4 linked regions of the Rattus norvegicus genome follow. The protein of the gene in region 1 interacts with the protein of each later gene in a pairwise test. Links are inferred from orthologs where the notes say so. Each region holds a gene or a part of one and is shown in the gene's direction. Other genes may lie near its edges.

Region 1 (7,836 bases):
ACCGCTGCCCCGGGACCCTGTGCAGCCCTCTTCAGGTCCCCCGCACTGCGGGCGGCCGCCGCCCGCCGCCCCTCCCCCCGCCCCGCGCCGGGTTGTGTAACCCGGTGGCGGCCGCGCGGCCCCGGGCGGGTCCCTGGGGTGAGGGGCGGGGGCGGTTGGGGTGGGGGAGGGAAGCGGCCACGAGGGGAGCGGCCTGCACCGTGGACTCGCGCGCCGACGGCCGCGTTTCCCGCTCCCGGGTGCGGCGGGAGGCGCGGGCGGCCGGGAGGGAGCGGGCCTCGAAGAGGAGCTAGAGGGGGAAGGAGGCCCGGGCGGCGGCCCCAGCGTTCCGCCGGCCTGCGAGGGGCGAGGGGATTCATTTTGGGTAGAGGCGGTGCCTGAGGCCTGGTGGGGTACACAGCGGGAACCAAGCTCCCGGGTCACGAGTTTCTCTGCCACAGGAATCTCATCTCCTGCCAGGTTCGCTCACGACTCCGCCTCAGAGGCTTTTTCACTTAGGCCTTTTTCTTTATAGCAGCGCATTTCCTACCCAAGGAGGGTGGGGGGCCCGGCAACCTCTCAAACCTTACTCCATTGGTTTTTCCACTCAACACCTACTAAACTTGTGAGCTGGGTTAGTGACTGTAGGAGGGATTAATCAGATGTTCGATTGGATGGACAACACGGGCAGTTTTGGGTTCCCTGTTTCTTTAACGATGAACTGGAAAGGAAGTGACTTGTCCATGCGGTTGTCACTAATCCCTTACCTTGGACAAGACCTTTTTGGTTAAAGTGAGAGGTGTTTTTGGTGCATTTTAAAACCGACTTCTATCCCCAAACTGAATGTTATTTAACATATTAAACGTGGAGTCTTGAAATATTTAAAAAATAAGCATCAAAGTTTATATATAAGCACATTAAAGTGCTTTTTTTTTTTAAACTGAAAAGGGAATGCTTAGAAAAATGTTAAACTTAGCCTATCATATAATACAAGTAGTTACTGGTGAAAAACTTAGTGTAGACCGTAAGTTATTTGAAGACACCTGGATGGATATCAGATTTTCTTTTATAAGGTGGTAGGGACTGATGATGGAGCAGAAATGTTTAATTGTAAGGATTTACAGCAGCTTAGAGACTTAGGAATTATGTAACTGCATTGGTTTTGGTTTTTCAGAAGGTGAGAAAGTGTCAAGGTTGCCAAATGGAACTGTTCAAAGATTTAGAATTTATCTTTTACAAGGTTTGTGTATTCCCCATCGGATTCCTTACTCCATAGAGATGCAGACCTTGAACCATTCATTGAAGGTGGCTGTCCTCAAAATGTCTTAAATTGGGATGAAGAATATTATCAGTTGGGCTGAGTGGCTTTTCCATGTGTAGTTTGGTCATTTTATACAGTGCTAAGAAATCTAGAAAATGTTAGGTACATAACGTAATGGGTTTTTATGAACCATTACTCCCAAACTTAAGTGAAACTGGTTTTCTGTATTCAGAAGTAAGGGCATAGGAGGCCAAACATGTTGAGTAATTGCAATGTCAAATCCAAAAGCTAGATTTATTGGGACTCAAGTTTTACTGAGTCCATTTGAAGTGGAGTTATCATGGCAGCCCCAAATAGTAAAGACACAGGAATTCTTTGCTTTCTGTTATAACTACTATCTTCACATTTTTCTTAAATATCTAAGCTTTAAAAGATGCTTTTTAGACTTTCTGCATACCAAGGCCACAGGGAGACAACTATGTATTTATTCAGAAGTGAGATTTATTTATTTTTGTCATTAACACTTTTAAAAGCTGCCTAGTAGGTTGCATTTTGTAAACTTAGAATTGAACCTAGGACCCTTGGTGTATAGCAGGTAGGAGCTATATACCACTGAGCTACATTTTAATTTGTAATTCTGGTGCCTCATTCTCCTAGGAAGCTGGAATTAATGTGGGCCACCATTTGCTACCTGAGCTTTTTTCCCCCATGATTTATTTCTGGTATTTAAGTTACTAGTAAGCAAACTTAGGTAGAATTGTTGCAGTTTACTTAAAATTTTGTGTTGTGGTTCAACTTTTTTGGACTTCAGTTTTTATCATTGCATGTAACATTGCCCACCTTTAGTTTAAATATATAAAATTATGATTAATGAATCAGAAGATACAGATATTGCTTAACTTTTTTTTTTTTTTTTTTTTGGTTCTTCTTTTCGGAGCTGGGGACCGAATCCAGGGCCTTGTGCTTCCTAGGCAAGCACTCTACCACTGAGCTAAATCCCCAACCCCAATTGCTTAACTTATTAAATGGTAAAGTAGTTCTCTTGGCTGCCTTTGGTTCAGGCAAATCTATTAGTTAGAGTCTCTACCCCCCTAATTTTTTTTTTTTTTTTTTTTTTTTTTTTTGTTTGAGACAAAATTGCAGGGGTACGTATCACTAGACCTGGCTTAACATTCTGCATTTTTTTTTAAAGAAAACATTATAGAATACAGAACTACATATACTGTTTTTGTCTTATAGTTAGCCTCTCTCTGAGGAAAAAAAAAATAACACTTGAGACAGGGTCTTTGCCCTGGCTGGCTTCAAACTCAGATTTTCTTCAGTGCTAGGATCGAAAGCATGTCCCACCACCTCAGCTCCATGAAATTTTTTTTTTATTTGTGACCTGGAGATAGAGCTTATTGGTAGAAGACCTTCCTAGTATGATAAGATCTTGAGCTCAGCTCAAAGCAACACAGGAAGTTTGATTGATTGGCTATCATAGTTTTTAGAAAATGAAAAATGGTAATACAATGCTGGAAATAAGGAATTTATTTTTCCTAAGTAAGGGTTGAACCTTGAACTTGATACATGCCATTGTGTATTTCTAATGCAGGACAGTGGCTGTGTACACCTTTACTCCCAGTATTGGGAGGCAGAGGCAGGCAAATCTCAGAGTGAGTTCTAGGATGGCTAGGGCTACATAGAAATCCCGTGTCAGAAAGCAAAAGTATTGTCTGTAGTTTGCTATTTGTTCAACTACATTTTCTTATTTTCTGGAAGTTCATACAGAAGAAAATGTATTTGTTGTTTGATTGAGGATTTCCCAAAGATCTTAAAACAATTGATAGCTAGTCCCCATTTTATTAGTGAGCAGGAAGTTGTGATTGACCCAGTAAATCACTTCTAGTAAGAATTAACTGTAAATTGGGCAGTGGTTGCTCATGCCTTTATTCCCAGCATTGGGAGGCAGAGGCAGGTGGATCTCTGAGCTCAGTGACAGTGATTTCCAGAACAGTCAGGACTACACAGAAAAACTTGATTTCAAAAAACAGACAAAACCTTAGCTGTATGGAGTGAAGTCTATATTCAAAAACTTGCCTGCTTTGGAATTTTAGTTGCATTTCATAGTAGTTTTGTGAGCGTGAAAGTGTTGCAAGGGGGTAGAAATCTGGGTTGTAGACAGATTTCTAGTTCTGCTACTCTGACTTGGATGTTAACTTTTTCTCTCCTGGTCCTTTAATTCAAATAGACACCAAAAGTAAGGGAAAGTAAGAGAATGAGTCTTAATAAAAGAGTTAAAAATGTTTTACATATTTTTGTTTCATATGTTATGGTATACTCTTATGTGGAGTTATATTTGGAAGTCCACAGGCCTTATGGCTTTGTCTGATAGACATTGGCAACTACTCACTCACAGCCCTCAATTTCCTCTTTGGGAGAAGGGAGGGAGGGGCAGTAAGTAGTACTGGGTAGGGATTGAATTCAGTGGTCATGCAAGGGAGGCAAAAGCCAAAGTCTTATTTTTATTTTCCTTTTACAATTGTATCTGAAGTAGCACTGGTTTGTTTAAATAGTATGTGTTTGGGACAAGGTTCTATCCTTGTCCCACCCACCCAGGGTGGCTTCAAACATGCAACAATCATCTTGCTTCACTTGTTATAACAACCTCATTGCTGTAATACATAAGGTTTGTTCTGTTTAGATAGTTTGGAGTAATATTATGGCTTGCTGCTTGAAAGGTCCTGATCTTTCTAGTTGATTTTGGCTACTGGCCCAGTAGATGGACCTCATGTGAGTTGTGTCCTAGGTCTGCTTCTGACTGGCAATGAACTCTGTGTCATAAAATTTGTAAAATGGGCTGACAAGAGACGAGATACAAACCCTACATACAGCTTACTTGGTATTTGGGGTTCAATAAAGTTGTTCAGTATTGCTGTGATTTAAATGTATGTGTTTTGTTTGTTTTTGTTTTCCTTCTATAGGCTATGGTGAAATAAATGGTAATGCTGGAGAAAGAGAAATATCTTTAAAGAACCTCAGTTCTGATGAAGCTACCAACCCTATTTCCAGGGTCCTCAATGGCAACCAGCAAGTTGTAGACACGAGCCTGAAGCAGACTGTAAAGACCAGCACCTTTGGAAAAGCAGGAATTAAAACCAAGAATTTTATTCAGAAAAACAGTATGGACAAAAAGAATGGGAAGTCTTATGAAAATAAATCTGGAGAGACCCAGGCTGTAGATAAGACCGACACTATAGCAATTCCAAATGGTGTTATAACAAATAATTCAGGCTATATTACTAATGGTTATATGAGCAAAGGAGCAGATAATGATGGGAGTGGATCTGAGAGTGGATATACCACTCCTAAGAAAAGGAAAGCTAGGCGCAATAGTGCCAAGGGTTGTGAAAACCTTAATTTAGTGCAAGACAAAATAATGCAAGAGACTAGTGTCCCAGCATTAAAACAGGGACTTGAAACTTTAAAGCCTGACTACAGTGAACAAAAGGGAACTCGAGTAGATGGTTCGAAGCCTATTTGGAAATACGAAACTGGACCTGGAGGAACAAGTCGTGGAAAACCTGCTATGGGTGACATAATTCGTAAAAGTTCAGATATTAAACCTGGTCTGAGTAGCAAAAAGTTTGATGATCGGCCCAAAGGAAAGCATGCCTCAGCTGCTGCCTCCAAAGAGGACTCGTGGACCTTGTTTAAACCACCCCCAGTTTTTCCAGTGGACAATAGCAGTGCAAAAATAGTTCCTAAAATAAGTTATGCAAGCAAAGTTAAGGAAAACCTCAACAAAACTGTACAGAACTCCTCTGTGTCACCAACTTCATCTTCATCATCATCATCTACTGGGGAAACTCAGACCCAATCCTCAAGTCGGTTATCCCAGGTCCCCATGTCAGCTCTGAAATCTGTTACTTCTGCCAGTTTTTCTAATGGGCCTGTTTTAGCAGGAACTGATGGAAGTATGTATCCATCTGCGGGTCAGCCACTGCTAACTACTGCTGCTAATACTTTAACACCCATCTCTACTGGGACTGATTCAGTTCTTCAGGACATGAGTCTGAGTTCAGCAGCTGTTGAACAAATTAAGTCTAGCCTTTTTATCTACCCTTCAAATATGCAAACAGTGCTGTTAAGTGCACAAGTAGATCTGCCCTCTCAGACAGATCAGCAAAACCTGGGAGATATATTCCAGAATCAGTGGGGTTTATCGTTTATAAATGAACCCAGTGCTGGCCCAGAGACTGTTATTGGAAAGTCATCAGATCATAAAGTGATGGAAGTGACATTTCAAGGAGAATATCCTGCCACTTTGGTTTCACAGGGTGCTGAAATAATTCCCTCAGGAACTGAGCATCCTGTGTTTCCCAAGGCTTATGAGCTGGAAAAACGGACTAGTCCTCAAGTTCTGGGTAACATTCTAAAACCTGGGACTACTGAGAGTGGAGCCTTATCCTTGGAACCCAGTCATATAGGTGACCTGCAAAAAGCAGACACCAGTAGTCAAGGTGCTTTAGTGTTTCTCTCAAAGGACTACGAAATAGAAAATCAAAATCCTCTGGCCTCTCCTACGAACACTTTGTTAGGCTCCGCCAAAGAACAGAGATACCAGAGAGGCCTAGAAAGGAATGATAGCTGGGGTTCTTTTGACCTGAGGGCTGCTATTGTATATCACACTAAAGGTAACTCTTATTTGTTTCTTTTTCAAAGATTCCAATGGGCTGATAAGTCCCTCCCCTCTCTATCCTGTGTGTGGGGGTGGGTGTGGGGGTGTGTGTGGGTGTGTGCGTGGGTGTGTGCGTGGGTGTGTGCGTATATTTGATACTCTATATTGGGAATACCTGGGTAAGAATTAGTATCATCAGTTAATTTGAGATTTTTGGAAATCATATTAAAGTTTAGAGGAATGTAATTTTCCAACATAAAATGATCAAGAAAAGCATAATTGGTCACATAATTAGAGGGGCTTCATGTTGCTTTAAAGATAATATTAATATTATTTTATATAGGGTCTCACAGGTTTTTTGTTTTTTTTTTTTTAATTTTTTATATGAGTACACTGTCGCTGTCTTCAGACACACCAGAAAGAGGGCACCGGATCCCATTACAGATGGTTGTGAGCCACCATGTGGTTGCTGGGAATTGAACTCAGGACCTCTGGAGGAGCAGTCAGTGCTCTTAATCACTGAGCCATTCTCTCAAGCCCCACAGCTTTGCTTTTTTTTTTTTTTTGGTTCTTTTTTTCGGAGCTGGGGACCGAACCCAGGGCCTTGCGCTTCCTAGGTAAGCGCTCTACCACTGAGCTAAATCCCCAGCCCCAAACTAGTATATCTGAATTCTTTGGTTCTTTCTTTTTTTTTTTTTTTCTTCTTCGGAGCTGGGGACCGAACCCAGGGCCTTGCGCTTCCTAGGCAAGCGCTCTACCACTGAGCTAAATCCCCAACCCCACTTTTTTTTTTTTTTTTTAAGTGATAGAGTCCAAGGTTTTATAAGCCAAATGGGCTTGAAATTCTGATCCTCTACAGGTGCTGCTGGGATTGCCTGTGTATGCCACCAACTTTGGCCACCCTCTCTTGTTTCTTAAAGTGTATACTCTATTAGCAAAGCATTTCATGGTTTTAATTGCTTATAATGAATTGGGCAGTAGTGTTCCTCCAAGTTTTGTTCCTTAACTACTAAGGCTTGAGCCTTGCTCTTTCCTTCTTTCTTTCTTTCTTTCTTTTTTTTTTTTTTTCCGGAGCTGGGGACCGAACCCAGGGCCTTGTGCTTGCTAGGCAAGCACTCTACCGCTGAGCTAAATCCCCAACCCTTGAGCCTTGCTCTTAAATACGTGCCAGGCAGGGAATTAAGAACTTTCCTGACATACCATGCAATGGTGGTGCAATCTATCAGCACTTGGGAGGCAGAGGCAGGATTTCTGAGTTGAGGACAGTATGGTCTACAGAGAAAGTTGTAGGATACCTAGGTTACACAGAGAAAAACCTGTCTTAAAAAAAAAATCACAAACCCATCAACCCCCACCTAAAGTAATCCTAACTCGAACAACAGAATTTTTTGGGACTTGTAGAGATAGCTTTTAGTAGGCAAAGGCACCAGCTTCCAAGCCTTAGACCTGAGTTGAGTTGAGTTCCAATTCCTGGTTCCCAGAGGTGGTCCTCTGACATTCAGTTTGCCATTGCAGATCCCTCACCTGGATAATTAAAGAAAAATGAAAACTTGCTGAATGCATAACTTTGTGGGGGAGGAATTGTGTGTAAACCTGTCTATCCAGGAACTGAGTTTGTAGACCAAGCTGGCCTAGAACTCATACCCACTTGCCTCTGCCTACTGAGTGCTGGGATTGAAGGCCATCCTCCATGACACTAAAAGAAAACAATTTTTATTTGCATCCTTTATGTCATTTCTACTCCTTGGGTATAAACATCTATTGCCTACTGCACATGCTAATTTGTTTTTAGAAACTATGTAGTCTTCCCTATCCTGGAACTACCTATGCTGACTAGGCTGGCCTTGAACTCAAATACATGTCTATCTCTTTCTTAGTGCTAGGATTAAAGGTGTATGCTACTTTTTAATTAAATACTGGTTTATTTTGGAGTGAC
Region 2 (8,571 bases), about 25 Mb from region 1:
TCAGATTCTGATGTGGTACAAGGGACACCTTCGCAGAAACTGTGGGCTTCCTGGGATCCATACTTGGGTTTTCTGGAATCAAGTTATAAAGTTCTTGTATGCTGTGTGACTTTTAAGACTTGAACAAATATCTGCTCGCTCCTGATAGGACACTGATGTCAGACCAGAAACACTCAATTCTATCTTAGTGAACACTTGAGTTTAATGGTGCTATTTATGGGTGTGTAGATGATTCAAGGACAGTTGTATCACCAAAAAGGCCACCCCAATGTTAGAGACACCTCAGGAAAGCTATATCTCTAGAGCTCCCTGGTGACATGAACCTCGGGTGTTACCTTGTGAATCTTGTAACTTTCAGGATTTTCCTGGGCCTTTTAAGTTGTTTTCCTCCTGGACATTGTTTACATTTTTTTTTCACTTCTTAAATCTTACCCGAGCTTTCTTTTTCTCTCTAAGAGGTGATGTTTCATTTCAAGAGAAATAGCTACACAACACCCCAATATTTCTGCTTTTTAGCAAAAAGTTTATACTATCCTATTTTATTTATTTATTAATAGTTTTTAGTATCTCCAGAATATAATTTTCCATTTTCCACAAGCACTTACAAAATTAGTGTAAGTTCTAGGGCTGGAGAGGCAGCTCAGCTGTTAGGAGCACTTATTGCTCTTGTAGAGAATTTGGTTTGCAGTACTCACATTGGGCTATAACTCCAGCTCCAGAGATCCAATACGTTCTGGCCCCCAAAGGTTCCTGCACATACATGATGCACATAAATGCATGGTGCATACATACATATATACATAAAACTTAAAAATTTTTACAAAGCTTACAAAAACTAAGTCCTGAAATGGTAACTACGAAGATGGCAGGCTGCATAAAGGGGCTCAAATCTGTAACCCCAGCACTTAGGCCGAGGCACCAGGATCAAGGTCAGGAAGTTCAAGGCTAGTGTAGGTTACAAAGTACGTTTGAGGCCTGACAGACTGTCTCGGTTAGGGGTTTTGGGGGAGCAGGCAAAAGATATAAGTTCATGTCCATAATCTCAGCTAAAGGGTCCAAGTTCAAGTTCTATATGGGCTACATGGTGAGTTCAAGGCTAGCCTGGAAAACTTAGGGAGCTTCCATCTCAAAATAAAAAGTAAAAAAAAAAAATTTAAAGAGGCTGATCTCTTATGGCAAGGTGGGAGGCAGAGTCAAGAAAATCATATGGAGGCTTAAGGGCCAGGTACCATGAAGCCCACAGTGCAGAGGCAAAAACAATGAGAGACCTTGCCTTTAAAAACGAGGTAGATATGCTGGGTGGTGGTGGCAGTGGTGGTGCATGCCCTTTAAATCCCAGCACTCAGGAGGCGGAGGGAGATGTGTCTCTGTGAGTTTGAGACCAACCTGGTCTATAGAGTGAGTTCCAGGCCAGCCAGAACTACACAGAGATTTCTTGAAAAAACAAAACAAGGTGGGCAGAGACGGTCCAAATGTTCTCTGCTATAGGTGAGCCTACTCCCGCTTGCTCCCTCCCTCCGTCAGACGGAAACCAGAACCTCTCTTCTGGATGAGAGCAGCACCACTGAGCTGTAACCCCAGAATTTGCTCTATCTTTTCAGTCGTTTCAAGTGATCGTGTATGTAAGTCTGTGAGTGCACTAAAGCTATGTGCAGAAGACAGAGGATGGCTTCTGGGAGCCATTTCTGTCTGTCTGTCTCTCTCCTTTTAAAACCATGTCAGTCAAAGAGATCACGTTGGTTGATAAGTGACTACCTGCTGAGCTTCCTGCCCCTCCCCCATTCTTTTTTATTTTTCTCTTGAGGAAGTGCCCTGTCTGGGATGTAGCTCAGTGGGTAGCACTTGCTCAGTGTGAACAAGGCCCTGGGTCTAATCCCAGCACGGCATAAACTAAACATGGCTATCTGCCCTTGCAATTGTGGCGCTTGCGTGGTGGGAGCAGAAAACAAGAAGTTCTGGGTCATTCTCAGCCACTTATCAAGTTGAAGTCCGGAACACAGGAAACCCTGACTCAGAGGGAGAGCTGCAATGTCGCTGAGGTTGGTTTCCAACTCCTGGGGTTAAGCAACCTCCCTTCCTCAACCTCCACATCATGGCTGTGTCTCACTAGAAGCCTAAGCCGTGGTCTGTTTTGGGGATACCTATACGAATGTCATGGAACACCTACGCTAACATCGTCAGGGTACCGAATTATGTTAGATTCTCTGCTCCAGTCTTACACACTTTCCGAGACTCCTGGAGCTCCAGTGTAAGAAGCCCTCATGGAATTCCACAAGCCCGCACTCCTCTCGGTGCAGAACTCCCACTGTCCTGAATTGTGTGGCTGACCCCGTGATCCTGACTGGCCTCCCAGTAAAGGTTTCTGCTTCTAGGGGTAGGAGTGGGGTAACCTAGCTTCCACCTTGAAAGCAAACACAGTCTTTTCTCCAAGGCCCAGCCTTGGCCTTTCTTAGAGTCTGTCTTCTTGGCCCTTCTCCAATCACCGTCTCTGTCTGGCCAGGCCCTTTGGCACTCAGCAGCCTGGCTCTTGTTTCTGGCTAATCTGTTCTACAGCTTAAAATTTCTCTATTCTCCCACCATAACAATTCCTCGAAGGTGGGGACAGCTGAAACAAGGAAACCCCTTGATCTCCACAGTCACCAGCCTGCTCCACAAGCCCACGCCCCACACTTAGTGCGAGTCCAAAGGCCCTTATCTTGAACGTGGCTTTCAATCCTTACTAGAGGCTGTCTTTCCTATCTAGTTTCAAGTTCCTCGGTCCCGCCGAATCAACCTCTTTTTTTCGGAGCTGGGGACCGAACCCAGGGCCTTGCACTTGCTAGGCAAGTGCTCTACAACTGAGCTAAATCCCCAACCCCTCGAATCAACCTCTTAAAGTTCTTTCAGATTCAACTTAATGCTGCACTATCAAGCAGGATTTTAATCTCTTCTTCCCTAACCTTGAGCTAATCTCCTGTCTTCTCTCTGCACACATCTATAGTGACTGGTGCTCGCTTTTGAACTTTTATTAGATTTAGTCTAAGCCACTCTCCCCGTTCAAACCAGGGGACTATTTATCCTCACCCTCACAACCATCTTTCAACTTCTTTCGAGTCCTGGCTGCCAGGCGTGAAAAGGCAGAGAATGTACAAAAGTCGCGATCCAGAAGCAGACACTCTCCAGTAAACGACCTTGAACGTGTGCCCTCAGGGCAGCTCTCTTAACTGTTGGTGGCCTTAGGCAAGCGGTGTCTGGTCTCACAACACCCTGCCGGGCGCCGCCAGAACCCGGGGTTAAATGCAACCAAACAAGCTAGAGCTGCCCTGGGGGAGGCGGGCTATGCTGTCATATGATTCTCTAATCACATGATCCCTAGAAATGGGGTGTGGGGAGACAGAGGAAAGGGAGGAGGAATGTGAAATGAGTAGAAAAAGAAACACAGCATTCCTGGAGAGTCCCGCCTCTACGTAGACAAGTAACCAATGAAAGCCCTGGATCTCTGAGCCATGGCTAATGGAAATTGAGGTGGGCGGGCCATCGCGCGGCCAAGCCCTAGTCCTGGAGCTGACCGCCAGATGCCTCCCAGGGAGCGCGGACCCCGACGCAGGTAGGAGGATCCTTTGCAGATATCTCCCCCGCTACTGTCCAGAGGCCTGACCAGGCTGCTGTGCAATTGAGGGTCCTCTGGAGTCTCAGCTCAGAGACAAGAGAAGACCTGCCTCTTGAAACTCCTCTAGGGGTTTCTGATGCACTAACGAGGTTTTTTTTTCTTTTCTTTTTTTTTTTGGGGGGGGGGACGAGCGGTTGTCGTAGATACCCCCAGTAAGAGGCTCCTCTTGCCCAGCATGTTGGAAAGCTGCAGGCCTTTCTCCAGGGCAGGAACCACCCCACTCTTGGGCCAGCTCCTCTGTCTGTACCTGCCACCTGTCTCCAGGTCCCGGCTCTTTCTCTTTCTGATGCTGCAAGTGGTCTCCGCGGCGGCGTGCAGTGGGTGGGGAGTCTCCCGCCCTTGGTCCCCAGAGCTCAGAAGGGTTGGGGGCAGGACCCGGGCCTGATGGCTGAATCCCTGGGTTGTGTCAGTTGTATTTCCTTTCTTGGGGGCGAGAGAGCTAACTTCCGCCTGCCTCTCCCCGCCACTTTTCCCTGCTCCTTCTCATTAGGATTGGCTCACCTTTTCGGAAATTCATCTCCCCTTGACACTCGGAGATGGGGGGTGCCACCTAGTGGAAGATGCCGGAGCTAGGGCTTTGAAAGGCTCCGGTTCTCCCTGGCTGTGTAATGTAGAGGTGGTCAGGGGCTCACCACTCCCCAGTCCTATTGAGAGGAATTGGGTCTCCCTTACCCCTTCCTGGTTAGGAAATGGCCTCTGGGATTTTTTTTTTTATGTGGGTGGGGGTTAGGTTAAAGAGCACTTGGAAGGACCTAAAAAAGGAAAGAGAGGGGGTTGGGGGAGACGACAGATCCTTCTATGTAGCCTAGGCTGGCCTGGGATTCACCTTGTAGCCCAGGCTGCCCTCGGATTCACCTTGTAGCCCAAGTTGGCCTGGCACTTGCAACCCTCCTACCTCAGCCTCTCAAATGCTGGGATCAAAAGCATGCCTGCCATGCGTGGGTGGCATTTCCTGCCTTTTGTAGCCACCAGTGTCCAGGCAGAGATTGAAGACTTGAGACACAGGGAAGGAACAATTTCTGAGGCCCTCAGTCATAGATTAGAGTGTTACTTCCAGGACTAAAACCCAACTGCAGCTTCAACGAAGTCCCTGTACCCACCCTGCTTCTATCCTGCTTGGGTCACCTGCCAAGAAATCTTCTGCCCCATCCCTCTGCACCTCTGGCCTCTGGGAATCAGGGTCCTTCCCTGGCAATGACCAGAGACAACGGTTGGCATATGAACCCAGTCTAATACCCTGTCTTTTCCCCCCTGGCTTGATCCTTAGGCATGGATTTGAAAAGTGAAAGTAATATTTTAATTATTGCTTTTCATAGATTGCTGAGAAATACAGTGAGAGGGGAAAATGGCTCCCTGGAGGGTCTTTGAATATTACTGGGTTTGCTGCTCTAGGCAGAATAACATCTTTCTGGGTTGCTGGGTAGACCATCTGAGCTGGGAAAAGGCTTATAGGGAAGTGAGAGGTTCAGTTCCTCCTGCTGAGGCAGAGAGTCAGTGAAGAGGTCCACTGGTTCTTCCCACTTGCAGCTGAGTTTCGATTTCTGATCAGGGAGAGACAGAGGCAGTCTGTTTGAGGAGTCCAAAAGGACCCTGGTGATGTCCGGAAGGCCTCATCATGAAGTTAGCTTTGAGGCTGACCTAGCCTCTGTGTCCCCTTCCCTTGAGTGGGGTGGGGACAGTTGTGGGTAGGCAGTGGCTGGCCCATAGGGAAGCCAGCCCAGACCCCACTGGCCACAGTACTTCTGTTTTTACAACTTTCTCCACCGCTAGGTTTCCCATATGATCATGTGACTGATGACTCTGTCCCCCAAGGCCTTTGAAAGCTACAGGTGGCAGACAGTTTGGTACCAGGCCGGGGTGGAGTTAGGCGGGCGGGATGGTGTGGGGCTGGCTTCCTCTTATGGCTGCTAAAGTCTCTTCTGCCTCCCAATTAGTCCTCAGTTCCATAAATCAAAGCCACAAAAGCCACATGCCTTCCCGACTGTCATAACCCCCTCCCCTCCTCTCCACGCACTCAGACTCTCAGGCGTTAGGCCATATGAATCGACACTGGTGTTCCTGCCAACATTCATGCTCACAGTGAGTGCAAGCTGACACACGAGTGCCGTGCACGGGTAGGGCGCTGACTCGAGCGACACATCTGCCTGCTTTCCCGTTGAGAATGCTCAATAAACCCAAGGCCTTGGCCTGAGCACAGGGGAATGCACAGCCTTGGAGTAGAAGGTGGCACAGGCTTCAAGATGGCTGCCAGACTTTGCTTGGCATTTGCAGGCAGACCATGTGGATCCTGGTGAGCTGGCTGGCCTTAGTGGCAAGGCTGGTGGCTGGAACACAGTGCCCAGATGGTCAATTCTGCCCTGTTGCCTGCTGCCTTGACCAGGGAGGAGCCAACTACAGCTGCTGTAACCCTCTTCTGGTGAGTGTCTCATGCCCCAGTTGGCAGCCTGGGCTTTCTGAAGGACTGTCTACCTCAGATTGGCCAGAGGACTGGCACAGATCCTTTGATTGATGTCATCTCTTCTTTCCAGGACACATGGCCTATAATAACGAGCCGTCGTCTAGATGGCTCCTGCCAGATCCGTGACCACTGTCCTGATGGCTACTCTTGTCTTCTCACTGTGTCTGGGACTTCCAGCTGCTGCCCGTTCTCTGAGGTGAGGCCGCCATTGGCTTAGGGGAACAGGAGATTGATTAAGATCTGCATTTACCCCTTTCCTTCACTCTTCTAGTCCCAGGCAAAAGGGTCTTGCTCACACAGGTGTCTCTTCGTCCATAGGGTGTATCTTGTGATGATGGCCAGCACTGCTGCCCCCGGGGCTTCCACTGTAGTGTGGATGGGAAATCCTGCTCTCAGATATCAGGTGCTGTGGGGCACAGGGGAGGGGGCACGTGGGGACGGACATCAGGAGTTACCTGAAGTGCCCAGGAGCCCAACTGCCTGGGTGGCCCTGGGAGGGGCAGTTCTGAGAGAAGAAGGTGACAGACACTCCAGCGTTGTGGGACACAGAGAGGCCGTGCCGGAGTGATTTGAGCACCAGCCCAGTTTCACTGGATGTCTTAGCAGTAGGGGCTAGCTAGCTGGTGGGGTCCTGGGAGATCACCTAAGCCCTGGGACTGACCGCTAAGCCTCCTGCAGCTGGACCTGCAGTTCCTTCAGTGATGGTACTGGTACTTGACCAACTGGATTAATGGAATTCTGGATTCTTGGATCTGCAGATAGCCTCTTGGGTGCTGTCCAGTGTCCTGGTAGCCAGTTCGAATGTCCTGACTCCGCCACCTGCTGTATTATGATTGATGGTTCCTGGGGGTGCTGCCCCATGCCCCAGGTATAGGGTGTGGGAAATGTGGCACCTATGGGTAGAAGGGTAATGCTGGGGTCCGGGGCTGACACAGATGGATTTAGGACCACTTGTTTCTTCTCAGGCCTCTTGCTGTGAAGACAGAGTGCATTGCTGTCCCCACGGGGCCTCCTGTGACCTGGTTCACACGCGATGCATTTCACCCACGGGCACCCACCCCTTACTAAAGAAATTCCCCGCACAAAGGACCAACAGGGCAGGTGAGGAGGCCCGAAGCCACCCTGCCAGCACCTGGGGGTGAAGGGGAAAAGTCCCTCTATCCTAGCAGCCCCTCCCTCATGCTTCATTGCTCTTTCAGTGGCTTTCCCTTTTTCCGTGGTGTGCCCTGATGCTAAGACCCAGTGCCCTGATGACTCTACCTGCTGTGAGCTACCCACTGGGAAGTATGGCTGTTGTCCAATGCCCAACGTGAGTGAATGGCTGGATTCCCCTGGATCTGGACAAGGGGGCTCCAGGCACTCGGTTGATCTGAGAGCCTTAAGGCTCGTGCTGCCCCCTAGTGGCCGATTGGAGCAGTGCATGCTATCAGCTTGGCTTGCTCCCTATGCTCGCCAGAGTTCAGAGACTTCTACTTGTCCCAACCTAGGCCATCTGCTGTTCCGACCACCTGCACTGCTGCCCCCAGGACACTGTATGTGACCTGATCCAGAGCAAGTGCATATCCAAGGACTACACCACAGATCTCATGACCAAGCTGCCTGGATACCCAGGTATGGGACCCCATTTCATCTGCTCAATAAAGAGGGTTCTCAGTTACGGAACGCTATGGGGTGGGTTTTGATGGCTTGCATGAGGTTCACTGTGGCTGGGATAGCTGTGTGCTCCATTCTCGACGCCTGGTCACACTGTCTTCGATGACTTGGTCTCTCCCTACCTCACAGTGAATGAGGTGAAGTGCGACTTGGAGGTGAGCTGTCCTGATGGCTACACCTGCTGCCGCCTCAACACTGGGGCCTGGGGCTGCTGTCCATTCACCAAGGTACTTGGGAGCAGTGGGCACAAGTGGTCCGAGCCGAGGGGGCAGCTAGCTTGGTTCCAGTGCTTATCGGGGCCTCTCTCTGTCTACCTAAGGCTGTGTGTTGTGAAGACCACATTCACTGCTGCCCAGCCGGGTTTCAGTGTCACACAGAGACAGGAACCTGTGAACTGGGAGTCCTTCAGGTACCCTGGATGAAAAAGGTCACGGCCTCCCTCAGCCTGCCAGACCCACAGATCTTGAAGAATGATGTCCCCTGTGATGACTTCAGTAGCTGTCCTTCTAACAATACCTGCTGCAGACTCAGTTCTGGGGACTGGGGCTGCTGTCCCATCCCAGAGGTAACGAGGGAAGCGAAACAGCCCAGAGGGGTGGGGATAGCATCTTGGCCTGGGTAGGTAGGTGACAAGAGTCTTGTAGCCTTATTCTTCTGCACTCTGCGTAGTCCGGGGTGGCACCCAGTGCTGTGATTTGTCCCCAGCTGGAGAAGCTATGAGCAGGAGAGGTAGACTCCCATGATCCTCTGTAGGAACATTCTTCTCTGCCCACCGCTAGGCTGTCTGCTGCTTAGACCACCAGCATTGCTG
Region 3 (8,584 bases), on another chromosome or scaffold:
GCCATGCCCCTTGAAAAAAAGAAAGTCACTCATTCATTTGTCTTGTAGCCTCACTAAAGCAAATTGGGCTTGGGTGAAACCAGGAAGGACCCAGTCTGCAGACAGCAGGCAACCTCTTCTGTCTGGGCCACAGCTTACGTTTGGTGAAGTCATTTTATATTTAGGATGGGTATTTGACTCCAATGGTCAGAGGGGGAATGGTGTGGGGGTCCTTACTTTGCAAGTGAAAAAGAAAAACACCTAGTTAAGGAAGTGATCTGAGAGGCCAGCAAGGGTCCCACTAAAGGACCTCATTTCCCTGTCTGTCTGTCTGTCTGTCTGTCTGTCTGTCTGTCTGTCTCCCTCTGATATTTGAAAGGAGAACAAGCTTTCCTTCTGGAGCCCACGATGGCCTGGAACTCGAGGTGTAGCCCAGGCAAGGCTCCAACTCTCTGAGCCTTCTGCTCAGCCTTCTAATTTCTGGGATTTTGGGTGTGAGCCACTACACCCACATCCTCTTTTTATTTTTAAAAATAGACTTTGGTGACCAGGAAATGCTGGAGCTAATGTGTTTTGATGTTATCAGATGTTCGACAGAATCTCTCACAGGCTGTAAACCAGATGGCAGGGTTTCGGAAGTGCAAAGCTTGTGAGGTAGAAGGAGTGGCCTGTGAGGGACTGCAGGGGAGTCTGGGACACAGGGAAGCTGAGGTAAGAAGGTGGCGGTATTCAGGGTCCTGCAATCAGCAGCAGCACTAAAAAGAGAAGGGGCCAGGGACAAAAGCACTCCACTCCACTCCAGATCGCACCCTCCTGAAGCTTCATGGGGAGCTGATCATGGAGAATGAGTCACTTCAAGCAGATACAGGGTTCACGCCTGGGGACCACACTTAGAGCTTTTTTTGATAACAGAATTTGTAAAGAAGGAGTTTGAATAACAGATGAAAATGTAATAAGGACATGTGGAAAACCCCGGATAGTAAAAGAGAGCGGGTGGGGGAGAGCTGTCGGGCAGCTGTGTGGTACACTTGTCCGTAATGGAGCAGCCTTGCTAGGAAGGAAGCAGGTGGCAGAGGCAGGCTGAGGAGAAGACAGACATGGGCGCCTCTGGGTCAGATGCTATACAATGATCAGCTGAAAGAACTCAGGTTGCCGACTGGGGATGTAGCTCAGTGGTAGAACTCTTACCGACCTAGCATGTTCAAGCAATCACTTACACACTGGGGATAAAGTGGAGGCACCAAAGTCAGTACCGAGCCTTATGCACCAAGCTTTTCCTGTTCTTATAAACCCATGACGCTGTTAACCTATAAACTGTGCAGGGGATGGTGGGGGAGGGAGATTAACAACATTAATGGCATGCCTCTCACAAAGCTCCACAACCTACGTCTTAAGGTTTTGATCTCATTGACTTTTTCTTTCCATGATTGTACTTTCACAAAGCTCTAGACATTTATTTCCTTTTACTTTTAAAGTTTTTCTTTTATAGATAAGGATGTTTTGCCTGCACGTATGTCTGTGCATAATTTATATACACAGTGCCCCTGGAGGTCAGAGTAGGGAATCAGGAGAGCCTCTCAGGACACAGCTATATCAGGCTCCTGTCAGCATGCACTTCTTGGCATCAGCAATAGTGTCTGGATTTGGTGGCTGTATGTAAATGGGCTGGATCCCCAGGTGGGACAGGCTCTGAATGGCCATTCCTTCAGTCTCTGATCCAAAGTTTGTTTCTGTATCTCCTTCTATGAATATTTTTGTTCCCCCTTCTAAGAAGGAATGAAGCATCCACATTTTGGCTGTCCTTTTTCAGCTTCATGTGGTATGTGGATTGTATCTTGGGTATTCTGAACTTTTGGGCTAATATCCACTTATCAGTGAGTGCATACCATGGTGTTTTGTGTGTGTGTGTGTGTGTGTGTGTGTGTGTGTGTGTGTGTGAGATTGGGTTATCTCACTCAGGATATTTTCTAGTTCCATCCATTTGCTTATGAATTTCATGAAGTCATTATTTTTGATAGCTGAGTAGTACTCCATTGTGTAAATGTACCACATTTTCTGTATCCATTCCTCTGTTGAGGGACATCTGGGTTCTTTCCAGATTCTGGCTATTATAAATAAGGCTGCTATGAACATGGTGGAGAGGTTCTGCCAGAGCATGACAATTACAGATGCGGACTCTTGCAGCCAACCATTGAACTGAGAATGGGGTCCCCAATGGAGGACTTAGAGAAAGGACTGAAGGAGCTGAAGGGGTTTGCAACCCTATAAGAATGACAATATCAATCAACCTGAGATCCCAGGGACTAAACCACTATCCCAAAGAGTACACATGTACAGAACCACGGCTCTGGCTGCATATGTAGCAGAGGATGGCCTTGTTGGGCACCAATGGGAGGAGAAGCCCTTGGTCCTGCCAAGGCTCAATACCTCAGTGTAAGGGAATATTAGGGTGGGGAGGTGGGAAGGGGTAGGTGGGGGAACACCCTCATAAAAGCAGGGGGAGGGGGCATGGGATAGGGGCTAACATTTGAAATGTAAATTAAAAATATCCAATAAAAAGAAAAAAAAAAGAGGGAATCAGATTCCCTGGAACTGAAGTTACCAGCAGTTTTGAGCCACCTTGTGAGTAAAGTGGTCTATGTGACTATCACAATTCTACTGTCAGAACTATAAACTATATTGGAAAGCCTTCAAAATCAGTGTATTAGGAGCCTCTGGCATTTCGAAACGTATTACAGCACAACATCATGGAGTCCGAGTCTGTGTGCCTTGTCGAAGCACCTTGGTCAGAACTCAGCTCCCGCCAGTCCTGCCTTTGAACCTTACGTAGACAGAGCTGGCCCGTGTGCACACTTAGGTGTCTAGCTATTTTGAATGGTTACTCTCATTCATTTCTCCACCTGAATCTCTTTATTTCGCCCCCTTAGGGCAGTACTGGTGAACCTTAAAGATTCTTATAATCCTACTTATTAGAACAACGGGAGGGATGTACCATCTCCTGAATGAGATGAACCTAAATATAGTTTAGTCTTAGACATTTCATACACCCATAGGAAATAGATCGGGTCAATTGGATTCCGAGCTTCAACAGCATCAACGTCTGGCTGGCTGCTCTTGTCCAGTCTAATGAGATTTTAGAGTAGGAGTCCATTTCCTCAAAACAGTGTCGTTAGAAAAGAGTACATAAAGATGCAGACTTCAGAGGCTTGACGGCATCTCTGAGAGACGTGAGCCAGTGGGGAAGTCACTCAACCCCTTTTATTCTCACCTCCAAGGAAGTGGAGCTAGTTTCTAGTGCACAGAGGCATGGTAAGGGAGGGAAACTCTTCCCCTGTGCTCTCTAAACTGTAGGTCAGGCAGTTGAGGGTCCAAGAGAAGGTTCAGGCAAGGGAGGGCTTGCAGTGTAGTAGCCCCGTCCTGTCTTTTGGAGAGCAGTGTCTTTGGCATTTTTGCACTCGATAGGGGGTTCCAGAGCTAGAAAACAAAGGGGAGGGAGGACTTCCAGAGTCCTTGTGTAACCCACCATTCTTAGGCTTTCTCGCCTTTAACTTTTTACAAACCGCCTTTCTACACACAGCAACTAAAAGCCAAGGAGGACGAGGTGAAGGCAGCCAGAGATCTCAGCCATCGCTTGCTCTCCTTCAATCTCCCTGTTCTTCCCGGATCCTCCCTTACCCCACATCCTTGCTTAGGTATCGCGCTTGTTCCAACCCTGGCTTTAAGCCTCGGGTTCCCAACTGCTCACATCCCTGAAGCCGCTTTGGTGGTGAGTTCAAGTTCCTGCTGCCACAGGGCCTGATGACACGCCCCCTCGCACGCGCCCCGCTCCGCCCCGGGGAGGCCCGGCGCCCCTCAGCCCCGCTCTCCCTCTGCTGGGCTCCCCTCCCAGCACCGAGCACTTGGCCCTGGCAGACGCCCCAAGATTGTTGTGAGGAGTCTAGCCAGTTGGTGAGCGCTGTAATCTGAACCAGCTGTGTCCAGACCGAGGCCCCATTTGCATTGTTTAACATACTTAGAAAATGAAGTGTTCATTTTTAACATTCCTCCTCCAATTGGCTTAATGCTGAATTACTGAAGGGGGTTAAGCGAAACCAGGTGCCGGCGGCGAGGGCTCTGCAGTGGCTCCCAGCACCCGGCACTGTCCCCGGCCCTCCGCGCAGCCCCGTTCGGCCCCTCGGAAACCAAGCTGCCCGGTCCCGCGCAGAGCCTGCCTTCCTCAAATCACCTCTCCTCCCGCGCATCTTGGATATGCCAGGATTAAAAAGGTAGGTTGGAAGGCGCCAGGAACTGTCTCCAGGCTTGAGAAACCTAACTCCAGACCTGATGGGTGGAAAATGGCTATGGCTGAGATTCCGCCTGTGTCAGGGCACTGGAAAAGACTTTTAGCAAGTGATGCAATGACCCTGTTAATTACAAAAAGCTGCGCTCATCTCGAAGTCTTGGTTTGGGAGTGGGGATTTTTCTAACAGCATCAGGAGTCAGCATCTCGAGAGAGGCAGCAGACAGCCTCTTTGGATCATTTCTCTTTCTTTTTGGAAAGGGCAGCAACGCTGTGCGCAGTTATTAAAATATCACACTACATATTTTTTAAATTTGGGAGACTGTTGACTACGGCACCAGCAACTGCTTTGCTGCGACGGCTGTGGGACAAGCAGAAGGAGTCTCCGAACACTCCTGTCTGCGTTTGCTCTATGTGTGCGATTTACAGAGGGAATGGGACCTAGAAGTTTCGAGCCAACGAACAGTGGACACTGCAGACAGAGACGCATGTAAGCAAATGTTTTGCTGTTCTTTGCGGAAATTGCAATTCCAGTCAAGTAATCCTTGAGCCTTGAGGAAGTTTAAAGATGACATCTGTCCTCCCCTTCTCCAGTGCCTCTTGAAAATAGAGCTGCCCTGCACAGACCTACACACTTTCTCTGTGTGTGCTTGCATGTGGGAGGGGTGCATGCATGCTAACACGCATACGAACTGAGCCATATTATGGTAAGACATAGTTAACATTATCATCCCGAATCGCCGACCAGCAATGTCTGTCATTGACAGGCACTTGGAGGCTCTGTCCTCTTCCTCCTCCTCCTCCTCTTCCCCCTCCTCCTCTTCCCCCTCCTCCTCCTCCTCCTCCTCCTCTCCCTCCTCTTCTTCTTTTGGATGGTGAACCCAGATTCAAAAGAAAAGTTTGAGACAGAGTTTCTCCTCTCCAGTATTAATTTTGCTTCATTTTTGGTACGATTTTTTTTCTGCAAAGCCTCTCTATTAGCCTGGAGATTATTTGGCCCCCGCTCTTCCAGGAGGCTGGGCTTGGGGCTGGCCAGCCCTGGGCTGGCTTTCACCAAAAGGAACAGAGAGTGGGGTAGGGGAGAAGCCGGTAGGGTTAGCACGCCTTTTCCAGTCTCTCTTGAGCTGTACTGCATGCAGTCAAGCTGCTCTGTCTCCAACATAAACGAGACAGGATTTTATAACCACCTGAAAGGAAACTTCATGAGAAGAAACAGGAAAACATTGAAATTCATAATCTACAGCCTGGAAAATGAATTTGTTATTGTTCTCTTATTCCTTCCAGATATAAAGTCTGGCTCTCACAAATATCCGAAAAGCCCAGGGATTTGGCTCTGTACTTTATAAGGTCAGAGCTGTCTCCAACGTTGGAGAACCTGGCTCACTCACACAGGCGGTTAAATGAAATGAAAACCTGTCTACCCAGGATTGGATCTGGGACTCCGTGAGGGAAGTGGGTTTGCGTCTTCCAGGACCACATCGGACTCAGTTTTGTCTGGGTGCCTAGGTGCTGCCTTCACTCCGCGTCTTCTACGTACCTACTGCTATTTCTCCGCTCGCTGCGGGTTGGGATGTCAGTGAGCTTGGGGTCTACTGAGCACTCGTTCTGCAAAGGTGGGGGCTGTAGAGCCATGGCGCTGGGTGGGTAAATAGTAAGCCTCCGGTTCACAGCCGTGCTGAGAAACATGCAAGATCACCACCCTCCAGGAAGCTTCCTCTGCTGACTCTTGACATTCTTATCAAAGCAAAACTGTACTCCTGGCCCATGGCACAAAGCAGCGAGCTCAGGTGAATGGCAGCTGGACCACAGCTCTGTGGCTCTCCTGCCCAGTATCTGTGTTGTAAGCTGTAGTTGCAAGATGAACAGTGTGCTAACAGACTTGACCGTCTGCAGAGACTTCACATTGTCTCTATCTTTCCTGCATTAAGTGCCCATGTTGATAGTGTTCCATAGGCTCCCTTGGCTATATGCCCAGGTTCCATGCATGACTCTTTAACCTGCAAAATAGCTCTTGTACCATACTCTGTGTTGTGTGGTGCACACCTGTAACCCCAGCATTTGGGAGGTAAAGGCAGGAGACAATCAGGAGTTCTGAGCCAGATTTGGCTGCATAACCAGTTTGAGGCTAGCCTGGGCTGCATGAGGCCCTGTCTTAAAAAAACAAAACAAAACGAAAAACAAAAAAGAGGCCAGCAGAAGTGTCTTGTAATCCCAATACCCAGGGAGCCGAGGTACAATTGCCCCAAGTTTGAGGATACTGGACCATATTGATGGTTGTAGGTTAGCCTGGGCTACAGAGTGAGAGCTTGTTTCAAAAAAAAAAAAAAAAAAAGGCACAAGCCCCAAGCCACAAAAGAAAACAACTTAAAGAAATCCTTTACCTATTAAACACCCCCTCCCTGCCCCAGAAGCTCACAACCTGGAGCCACCATTTTTCTTTCTGAGTCTGAAAGTTCTGGGGTACCTGATGTAAGTTGAATTCTATGTGTTTGTGACCGTCACTCTTCTCACTATGACGTCCTCATGGATCATCAGTGTTGCTGCTCCTGTTTTTTGTTTTGTTTTGTTTTAATTACATTTATTTATTTACTTGAGGGGAAGCATGTGTTGCTGTGCACGTGTGGTGGTCAGAGGACAACTTTCAAAAGTTGGTTCTCTTTCCATTCCGTGAGTCCTGGTGATCAGGTTGTCGTTTTGAGGTCAAGCTCCCTCGCCTGCGGAACCTTCTTAGCTTCCCTTTTGCACTGCTTCAATTTTATTTATTCATTTAGATAGGATCTCACTATATTGCCCAGGCTGGCTTTGAACTCCTGGCTTTCAGCAACCTTTGCACTTTAATCTTTTGGAGCAGCTAGGACTACAAGCACATAGCAATGTGCCTGGCTTTCCATATTGTATGGTGTCCAACTTTCAAGTTTAAGTCTGAATAACATTGTTGGGGTGTGTGTGTGTGTGTGTGTGTGTGTGTGTGTGTGTGTGTGTGTGTGAGAGAGAGAGAGAGAGAGAGAGAGAGACATAGACAGACACACAGAAAGACAGACACAGAAGAGATACACACACACACACACGCAGAGAGAGAGAGAGAGAGAGAGAGAGAGAGAGAGAGAGAGAGAGAGAGAACACATTTTGTTTTTGTTTAGCTATTCTTGCATGGACATTTCAATTGTATCCACTTTTGGTTATTATACAAAATGCTGCTGTGAGCATGTGTGTACATACGTCTGTCTGGTCTTTGACTCAGTTCTCTGGGGAATACACTCTGGAGTGGGTCTGCTGGATCACAGGTGAGGATGGATGCCACACAGCCGTACCATTGACCTCCCCATCAGTAATGCACAAGAGCTGTGATCTCTCTACATTCTTCCTATACTTGCTGTTTTCCGTCTTGCATTTTCTTTTAGATTAAAAAATTATTTTACATGTATGAGTGTTTGCTTGCTCTGGGTACAAGTAAGAGACTTCAATGTATAAGGTGAAGAATGATTGAGGAAGATTCTGGATGCCAACCTCTGGTCCCCATAGGAATACACAGACATGTACATATGCACTTACACATGTGCAGCAACACATGTCAACACACACAGGTCTGTACATGTTACACAAATAACCATCTTAATGGGTATGAGTGGCATAGACTTTGCTGTTTTAAAGCATACTGGTGACCACAGTTTCCAGACAAAACATTGGCCGCAGCAAAGAACCAAATTACCCACAGGCAAAGATGTTTACTTGCTTGTGGGTGGCCATGTTGGCTGAGCCAGGGTGTCACGGCATTTCCTACTGCTACCCACTGCCTTTCTTACACTGGTTCCTCCGCCTTCCACCCCCTGGGATGGCAGTTCTCACAAGGCACACGCTAGGGTGGACCCTGGGTTCTTGGACCATTCAAGTCCCGGTTTTCACATGTGGATGGAGGGTTCCAAGTTCTGGTTAAGTGACCTCCTGCAAACACAAAGCCTCCCACATTCTAGCTTTCATGGTTTAAAGGCACAGAGGCTCTTGGCTCTGCAGTCATGTCTGAATAATGTTTAACTCAGGCGGTCTCTATGCAGAATGGTAGAAGGTCAGGACAGTTGGTTGATGACCCAACTGTGGGTCTTTGGATTTTTGTTCCAAAGCAGCAAAGCTTTGTTTTCAACCATGTGACCTAACTCACTATCCCATCACATGAAGCAAGTGTTAAGAGGCCGGCTCTTATGGTAGAGCAGAGGGCTCTGCTGAGAGTTCCCTACTCACTTGCAAGTCCATGGTAAAACTACCAACCAAATGCCTGAGTAGCAGGAGGTCCAGGTTTCCTGGACATGAGCATCCCTCGGCATTCACTCT
Region 4 (6,595 bases), on another chromosome or scaffold:
CATGGGAGCCCCGTGTGAGCAGCGCTGCTTCAACTCCTATGGGACCTTCCTGTGTCGCTGTAACCAGGGCTATGAGCTACACCGGGATGGCTTCTCCTGCAGTGGTGAGAGTCCACTTGTGCTACTGGATACTGCATTGGTACCCCCCCCCCCCCGCACTTGCAACGTATTGGACCAACTCCAGTCACACAGTCATTTGTTTGAGGCTTCGATGTCTCGCTCTCTGCACCCGCAGGCCTTCATGAACTCCATCTTGAGCTGGTTGTTTGGCACTCCCAGCTTGGGGGGTTGGTACGATAGGTGCTTCTGAAGCTTGCTGGAGAGACAGAGAGGGATGGAGGTGCCCGTCTTCCTGAAAGTTGAGTTGACTTGCATTGGAATCCTGCACTAGGAAAGTCTCTTCTTCCTGGGCACATTTCTAAGGCAGATGGGCTATTTGGAGAGTTAGGGACAGTGACTGACAGGCTTCATCAAGTCTCAGGCAGAAAAAGTAGGTGCCATGCGTTTATAACTTAAATTTTCAGTCTCGTTTTATCTGGTCAGTGATGATTTACTTTTGTAAACAGAACATTAAAGGTGTGTTGGTGGAACTGTAGAAAGTAAGCAGAACGTTGAGAGACAGTGGTGACTTTCATCTTTCCCCTTACAGAGATGAAGTGACCTGTCCAAGTTCAGATGGGAAGGATGAGGCGGGGCTTGGGCTTACCCCAGGCATCTCAGCATGTCACCCGGCACACCCTCATTGTTGTGTGCTCTGTGAGGCACAGCATCATTGGTGTTTAGCGGTGTGAAAGGAGCAAGAGCAGACAGATAGGATGCTGCATGTGGGTCACACGCTCAGCCAATCTGGGCATTCTGACTGCAAATCGCAAGACTTACAGAAAAGAATAGAGCAGGTTAGCCCCTCAGGACACCTCTAGTCTAACCTACTCATTTAACTGGCTCAACGTGGACCAACGTGGCTCAATGTGGTACCCCCAAGCCTCTAGACTGGTGTTGCTTTTTAAGACAGAGCCTATATTACCGTGGCTGTTGTAAAGCTCTCTGTATAGATCAGGCTAGCCTACAGAGATCTGCTGAGTCGTGCTAGAATCAGAGGCACAGGCCACCATGTTAGGCTAGTGCTTTGTTCCGTATTCTTAAAGTCCTGGGAGAGAGGTGCTCTATATGCTTGAAGGTCTGCTGTTGTTTTGAGACAGGGTCTCATTGTGTAGCCCTGGCTGGCCTGGAGTCTCTTATGTAGACCAGGCTGCCTCACACTGACCTGCTTGCTTCCGCCTCTGCCTCCCAGATGTTGTGATCAGACACCCCATTGTTTGCTTTTCAAGGCACGATCCATCTTGTTATGTAGTCCTGGCTGGTTTTGATCTTAATATAATCCTGGTGGGGCTCCCCATGTGGATCAGGCTGACCTTGAACTTGGTATAATCCTCCTGCCTCTACCTCGCAAATGCTGGGATTGTAGACTATAGCACCATGCCAAGCTTCAAACCTTTCTATTCTTTGTCTTTTCTTTTTCCTCTCCCTTTCCTTGCTGGGATGGAACCTAGAGCTTCAAGCGTGTTAGGCAAGTACTCTACCACCGAGCTATATCCCCAGCCCTCTAACCTTCCTCTGAAACCTTCAGTCCCCCTTTTGAGCATTATGGGTTTACTTCACTCCCTCTCTCTTCCCACATCCAGCCTTATGGGGGGGCTGGGCTCTCTCGGTAAAGGTCTGTGGGACTTGGTTGTGAGGACTACCCTCGGCCCAGGGTCCTCATCCCCACCCTCCCTCAGATATCGATGAGTGCAGCTACTCCAGTTACCTCTGCCAGTACCGCTGTGTCAATGAGCCAGGTCGCTTCTCCTGTCACTGCCCACAAGGCTACCAACTGCTGGCCACAAGGCTCTGCCAAGGTACAGGTGCTTGGGTGGGCAGGAGTTGAGAGGCTGGCAGCTTACTGTCAGTCCTAGAGTCCAATTCCACCTCCCTTGGCACAGACATTGACGAGTGCGAAACAGGTGCACACCAGTGTTCGGAGGCCCAAACCTGCGTCAACTTCCATGGGGGTTACCGCTGTGTGGACACCAACCGTTGTGTGGAGCCCTATGTCCAAGTGTCGGACAAGTGAGTCAACCTGGTGGCAGTTTGCTGTGGTAACTACAATTTCCAGAGGTCTGTGGGGCTAACTGGTTTAGTCAGGCTGGTGAGTACCCATGACATCTCATGGGAATGAGTCGGGTTTTCCTCTTTAGGAAGTAGGTATTGGGGAATGGGCCTAGCCCTCACTGCTGTTTCGTGTTGGGGTCTCTAGCCGCTGCCTCTGTCCTGCCTCCAACCCCCTTTGTCGAGAGCAACCGTCATCCATCGTGCACCGCTACATGAGCATCACCTCAGAGCGAAGTGTGCCTGCCGACGTGTTTCAGATCCAGGCAACCTCTGTCTACCCTGGCGCCTACAATGCCTTTCAGATCCGTGCTGGGAACACACAGGGGGACTTCTACATTAGGGTAAGGTGCTTCTCTATTCAGACCCAACTGACTTATCTAAAATAGAATGCCTCAAATCACTTAAGTGGGAGCTGCCCTGCCTCCTCTCTCAGAGCCCTGTCCTAGGAAGCAGGGGTCACGGCAGAAGTCAGAGATGGTCCATATTCCTAGTGAACATGCTACAGGCAGTTCTAAGGAGTAGTTGGTTAGGGGGTGAGTCCCAGTACTGCTCTCTCCTGCCTGGCTTTGATTTCCTTATCCATTAAACAAGAACAGTTCCTGCAGGGCTGGGGTCAGGGACTCCAGTGTGCTGGCAAGGGGAAGTTAGGGAGGCTGGCGGAGGTGTGGGGCATCTTGGACGTGGGTCCTTATGCTGCCTTCAGCACTGAGGTGTTTGGCTTCAAAACCTCTTTGGGGCTGACATCACAGCTCCATGGCAGCTCCACTCAGTAGGCCCTCAGTTCTTCCCCAGCACTAGAGTGATGACAGAACTGAATACTTTGGAGGGGAAATGGGACACTCTTGGTCACCAAAGGCCCATCATCCCTGAAACTCGAGCCATCAGGTAGTCATGATGGAGGGAAACGCAGGGTGGATAGGGTCAGGATGGAGCTGATGAGGAGAGCCAGTGGCAGGGACTCATACTGACGTCAGAGCTGGGGAAGGATCTGCAGTGGTCTTATCAGACTTTCCTGACCTCAGGACAGGAGGGAGGGGTGATCCTGGAGTAGGGTCCTGGCTCATAGGCTAACACCATCTCTATGTTCTGCCATCCACTGTGCCCTGCAGCAAATCAACAATGTCAGCGCCATGCTGGTCCTTGCCAGACCGGTGACAGGACCCCGGGAGTACGTCCTGGACCTCGAGATGGTCACCATGAACTCCCTTATGAGTTACCGGGCCAGCTCTGTACTGAGACTCACCGTCTTTGTGGGAGCCTATACCTTCTGAAGAAGACCCTCAGGGAAGGGTCATGTTGGGGGGCCCCTTCCCCCCTCCCATAGCTTAAGAAGCCCTGGGGGCTGAAGGATGACTGTTCTGTTTAAAGGGACTATGATGTGAAGGACAATAAAGGGAGAAAGAAGGAGTCCTGGCTGAGGTGGGTGAATAACCTCAGCCTGGGAAGGGGCTGGCTTGTGAGAGGCAGGCAAATTCCACACAGGAATCCTCTCTACATTCAGGCTGAGGAGATGCCAGAATCAGCCTGAGCTGGGCGTTCTCCAGAGTGTATACTTCAGGCCCTATTCAAGAGCTTGGCTGATACTGGACCCAGAAACCATGTTCAGGTCAGTGCTAGGAGTTTGGGGTGACTGTCTTAGCCCTACCCAAGCTGTGCAATTGGACAAGCCCTATTGTCCAATCACTAAGATGAGGCAAATGGATGGAGAACACTGTTCTCAAACTATTTGACCAGGGCCGTCTAATTACACTCAAAAATACAGTACCCTATTGACTCCATCTCCCTGACCAGGGCATTCCTAACTCTTTTTTTTTTTTTTTTAAGATTTATTTTATTTATTATATATAAGTACACTGTAGCTGTCTCCAGATACACCAGAAGGGGGCATCAGTTCTCTTTACAGATGGTTGTGAGCCACCATGTGGTTGCTGGGAATTGAACTCATGACCTCTGGAAGAGCAGTCGGGTGCTCTTAACCGCTGAGCCATCTCTCCAGCCCCATTCCTAACTCTTAAGGAGTGTTTATCTACCGTCCGTCCGTCCGTCCGTCCGTCCATCCATCCATCCATCCATCCATCCATCCATCCATCCTTCCTTAGGGTCTCTGGCTTGGTGTAAGTTAAGTTCTTATTATAGCTGTGCACAGCCATGTTTAGCCTAGGAGCTGGCCTTGAAAAGAACCATGGTATAATGGCCACACCTTTAATTCTAGGATCTGGCAGGTAGGCCAGGGAAATTGGGAGTTCTAGGCCAGCCTGGGTTATATAGCAAGTTCTAGACCAAGCTGGTTTTAGGAGTGGGTAAGGAGACACTGTACAAGGCTGCAGGTCGTTGCTATGTGGAAGAGGAATTGCCTGGCACGTGTGAGGCTGTGGGTTCCACCGCTGGCACTACCTACCACACAATTGGATCTCCCGCAGTCTTCCAGTTCCTGCACATTTCATAAGGACCTTGGCATTGCTTCCTTAACACCACACACATTTGGATTTTTATTAAAGCCCAGAGGACCTGTTAAAAGGCTAGCCTTGGTAGAGATGAAGATGGGTGCTGGGGAGCATTTCCAGGTATAGCTCAGGTCAAAGGGCTGTGGCTGCAATACAGCTGGTACAGGGTCCTGCTCAGAGCAGGTCCCAGATTTCTGCAAGAAAAGTCAGGAGAAGGTCAGCCTGGTGCCTCAGGCAACCCAGTCTTCTCTCCAGATTGTAAGTGCCCATACCTCTGCAGACGCCCACACTTGACGGTGCTCAGCAGCATCTCCTGCTCCTTGGTGGTGGCACAGGCATCATAGGCAGCCAGGAGACTGGGGGTGAGGCACATAGAGGCTGATTATCTGGGCAAGCATTGCGAGACATGAGAGCTAAGGCAGGAGGGGTTGAGCCCAGAGTGGAGGAGTTTTTTTTTTTTTTTTTTCTTTTTTCTTTTTTTCGGAGCTGGGGACCGAACCCAGGGCCTTGCGTTTGCTAGGCAAGCGCTCTACCACTGAGCTAAATCCCCAGCCCCAGAGTGGAAGAATCTTAAATGCTACACATTTCCTGTTTCTGAGGTTAGAGCTCCTGTTCCATCCTGCCTGCCCTCCCTGGGAAACACTGGGACAGAGCCTGCCAAGGTTCCCGTGTAGAGCCAAGCTCACTCTCCGGGAGCACTGTTTATGTTGAACTCCATGCAGGAAGGAAGGGCAGAGGAACCCTCAGCAGCTCTCTGGGGTGTACCTGGCAGGGGTGCTGTATCGATCCACCAGGGCTGCTGCCTTCTCCCCACTCAGTCCACGCACCTGCATCAGCTGCCGGGCAAATACCTCTCGCACAGACTGGGCCTGGGGTTGGGGTAGGACTGTGTTAGGGGTGACCTCGGCCTAGGTCACCTGAGCAGAGGCGAGGCAGGGGTGGTACCTTGTTCTTGACAGCTTCTGCATTGAAGTCACTGAAGGTGAGGAGTGAGCAGAGAGGGTTTGTGGAAGGCTTTGCTTCTGATTCAGCATCCCCTGGGGTTCCCCAAGGGCGGCTGTGTAGGGTGTGGCCCTGATGGAAGAGGGGACTGAGGCCAGGGTAGGCGCTAAAGACTAACCCCAGCTAATCCTTTCCCAGGCCCCAGTGGGAAGCCTGAAGAACTGGGATCCCACCCTTCCTTGCTTGGGCAGTAAACACCAGGCAAGGGTCCAGTACTGGGTAGAGGCACCTGCTCACCTGGTACAGTCTTTCCAGGCCCTTTGTCAAAAGCGCCAGGTAGCCAGCTGACTCCTTAATATCCATGGTACGCTTCACAAAAAAGCCATCAATGACCTGGAGAAGAGGACATAAGGAAGGTAGCTCCTGGCCTGAGCCATGGGCTATAAAGTCTGCCAGCCTGGTCCTGCCCTCCCAGCTCACCTGGGTGTTTGTGACAGCCTGCAGCAATGTACTCTCAGGAAGGCTAAGGTTTTGGACAGACCCATGTTCCTCTACCAAGTATATCCGGTGCCCCAGGCCACAGCGCTTCAGGCGGAACTAGGAAAGCAGGCAGAAGTAGCGTGGGTCAGGCCCAAATGCCCACGTCTAGGGCAGTCATCAGTTAAGAGACCTTGTCCCTACAGTCTCATCTTCACTGGCTCCTATTGTATCTTGAAAGCAACACCACACTAGGCTCTCGCTAGGACTCCTCGGAAAGCCCCGAACCTCTGGACATTATGCTTTCTCCAAGCCTCCCTTGGCCTATTGGGCTCTGTGGCCTCTAGGGTCAGCCCTGCTGCTGGGACGTGGGTATAGACCCTGCATTTCCAATCCTAGAGGTTTTCCTCTTGTTTATCTGAGAGCTCTAGGGCTAGGTACTCGAGGGCTCTTTAAGTTTCTCCAGCCAGCAGAGAGAGCCTTATTTTCCAGCTGTGCCCCTGTATGACTTGAAAAGGGCTCAAAGTGGGTGTGGCTGGAGGCTCTGCTTCGGGGCCACCCAGGAGCTTTTCTAGGTTGAG

What was found.
Region 2: the proteins of Nufip2 (region 1) and Grn interact in binary tests that used the Homo sapiens proteins (3 or more experiments, as listed by UniProt). The link is inferred for Rattus norvegicus from reciprocal best matches to the Homo sapiens genes NUFIP2 and GRN.
Region 3: the proteins of Nufip2 (region 1) and Fbln5 interact in binary tests that used the Homo sapiens proteins (3 or more experiments, as listed by UniProt). The link is inferred for Rattus norvegicus from reciprocal best matches to the Homo sapiens genes NUFIP2 and FBLN5.
Region 4: the proteins of Nufip2 (region 1) and Efemp2 interact in binary tests that used the Homo sapiens proteins (3 or more experiments, as listed by UniProt). The two-hybrid records come from large-scale screens. The link is inferred for Rattus norvegicus from reciprocal best matches to the Homo sapiens genes NUFIP2 and EFEMP2.

The regions. Positions count from the first base shown.
Region 1 is NC_086028.1:63,074,531-63,082,366, forward strand, and holds part of Nufip2 (nuclear FMR1 interacting protein 2), read left to right. Parts: intron 1-4,203; coding exon 4,204-5,916; intron 5,917-7,836. UniProt on the Homo sapiens protein: Binds RNA.
Region 2 is NC_086028.1:87,884,297-87,892,867, forward strand, and holds the start of Grn (progranulin isoform a precursor), read left to right. Parts: upstream 1-3,537; 5' UTR 3,538-3,554; coding exon 3,555-3,586; exon of another isoform or gene 3,587-3,738; intron 3,739-5,920; coding exon 5,921-6,065; intron 6,066-6,177; coding exon 6,178-6,303; intron 6,304-6,425; coding exon 6,426-6,510; intron 6,511-6,865; coding exon 6,866-6,975; intron 6,976-7,072; coding exon 7,073-7,208; intron 7,209-7,306; coding exon 7,307-7,416; intron 7,417-7,594; coding exon 7,595-7,718; intron 7,719-7,889; coding exon 7,890-7,987; intron 7,988-8,079; coding exon 8,080-8,325; intron 8,326-8,539; coding exon 8,540-8,571. UniProt on the Homo sapiens protein: Secreted protein that acts as a key regulator of lysosomal function and as a growth factor involved in inflammation, wound healing and cell proliferation. Regulates protein trafficking to lysosomes, and also the activity of lysosomal enzymes.
Region 3 is NC_086024.1:126,738,125-126,746,708, reverse strand, and holds the start of Fbln5 (fibulin-5 precursor), read left to right. Parts: upstream 1-4,002; 5' UTR 4,003-4,227; coding exon 4,228-4,244; exon of another isoform or gene 4,245-4,692; coding exon of another isoform or gene 4,693-4,748; intron 4,749-8,584. UniProt on the Homo sapiens protein: Essential for elastic fiber formation, is involved in the assembly of continuous elastin (ELN) polymer and promotes the interaction of microfibrils and ELN. Stabilizes and organizes elastic fibers in the skin, lung and vasculature.
Region 4 is NC_086019.1:212,215,181-212,221,775, forward strand, and holds the end of Efemp2 (EGF-containing fibulin-like extracellular matrix protein 2 isoform 1 precursor), read left to right. Parts: coding exon 1-104; intron 105-1,550; coding exon of another isoform or gene 1,551-1,567; intron 1,568-1,778; coding exon 1,779-1,898; intron 1,899-1,982; coding exon 1,983-2,109; intron 2,110-2,296; coding exon 2,297-2,492; intron 2,493-3,260; coding exon 3,261-3,422; 3' UTR 3,423-3,559; downstream 3,560-6,595. Other genes in the region: crossover junction endonuclease MUS81, read right to left, coding at 4,723-4,789, 4,868-4,951, 5,361-5,464, 5,541-5,669, 5,835-5,930, 6,018-6,134. UniProt on the Homo sapiens protein: Plays a crucial role in elastic fiber formation in tissue, and in the formation of ultrastructural connections between elastic laminae and smooth muscle cells in the aorta, therefore participates in terminal differentiation and maturation of smooth muscle cell (SMC) and in the mechanical properties and wall integrity maintenance of the aorta.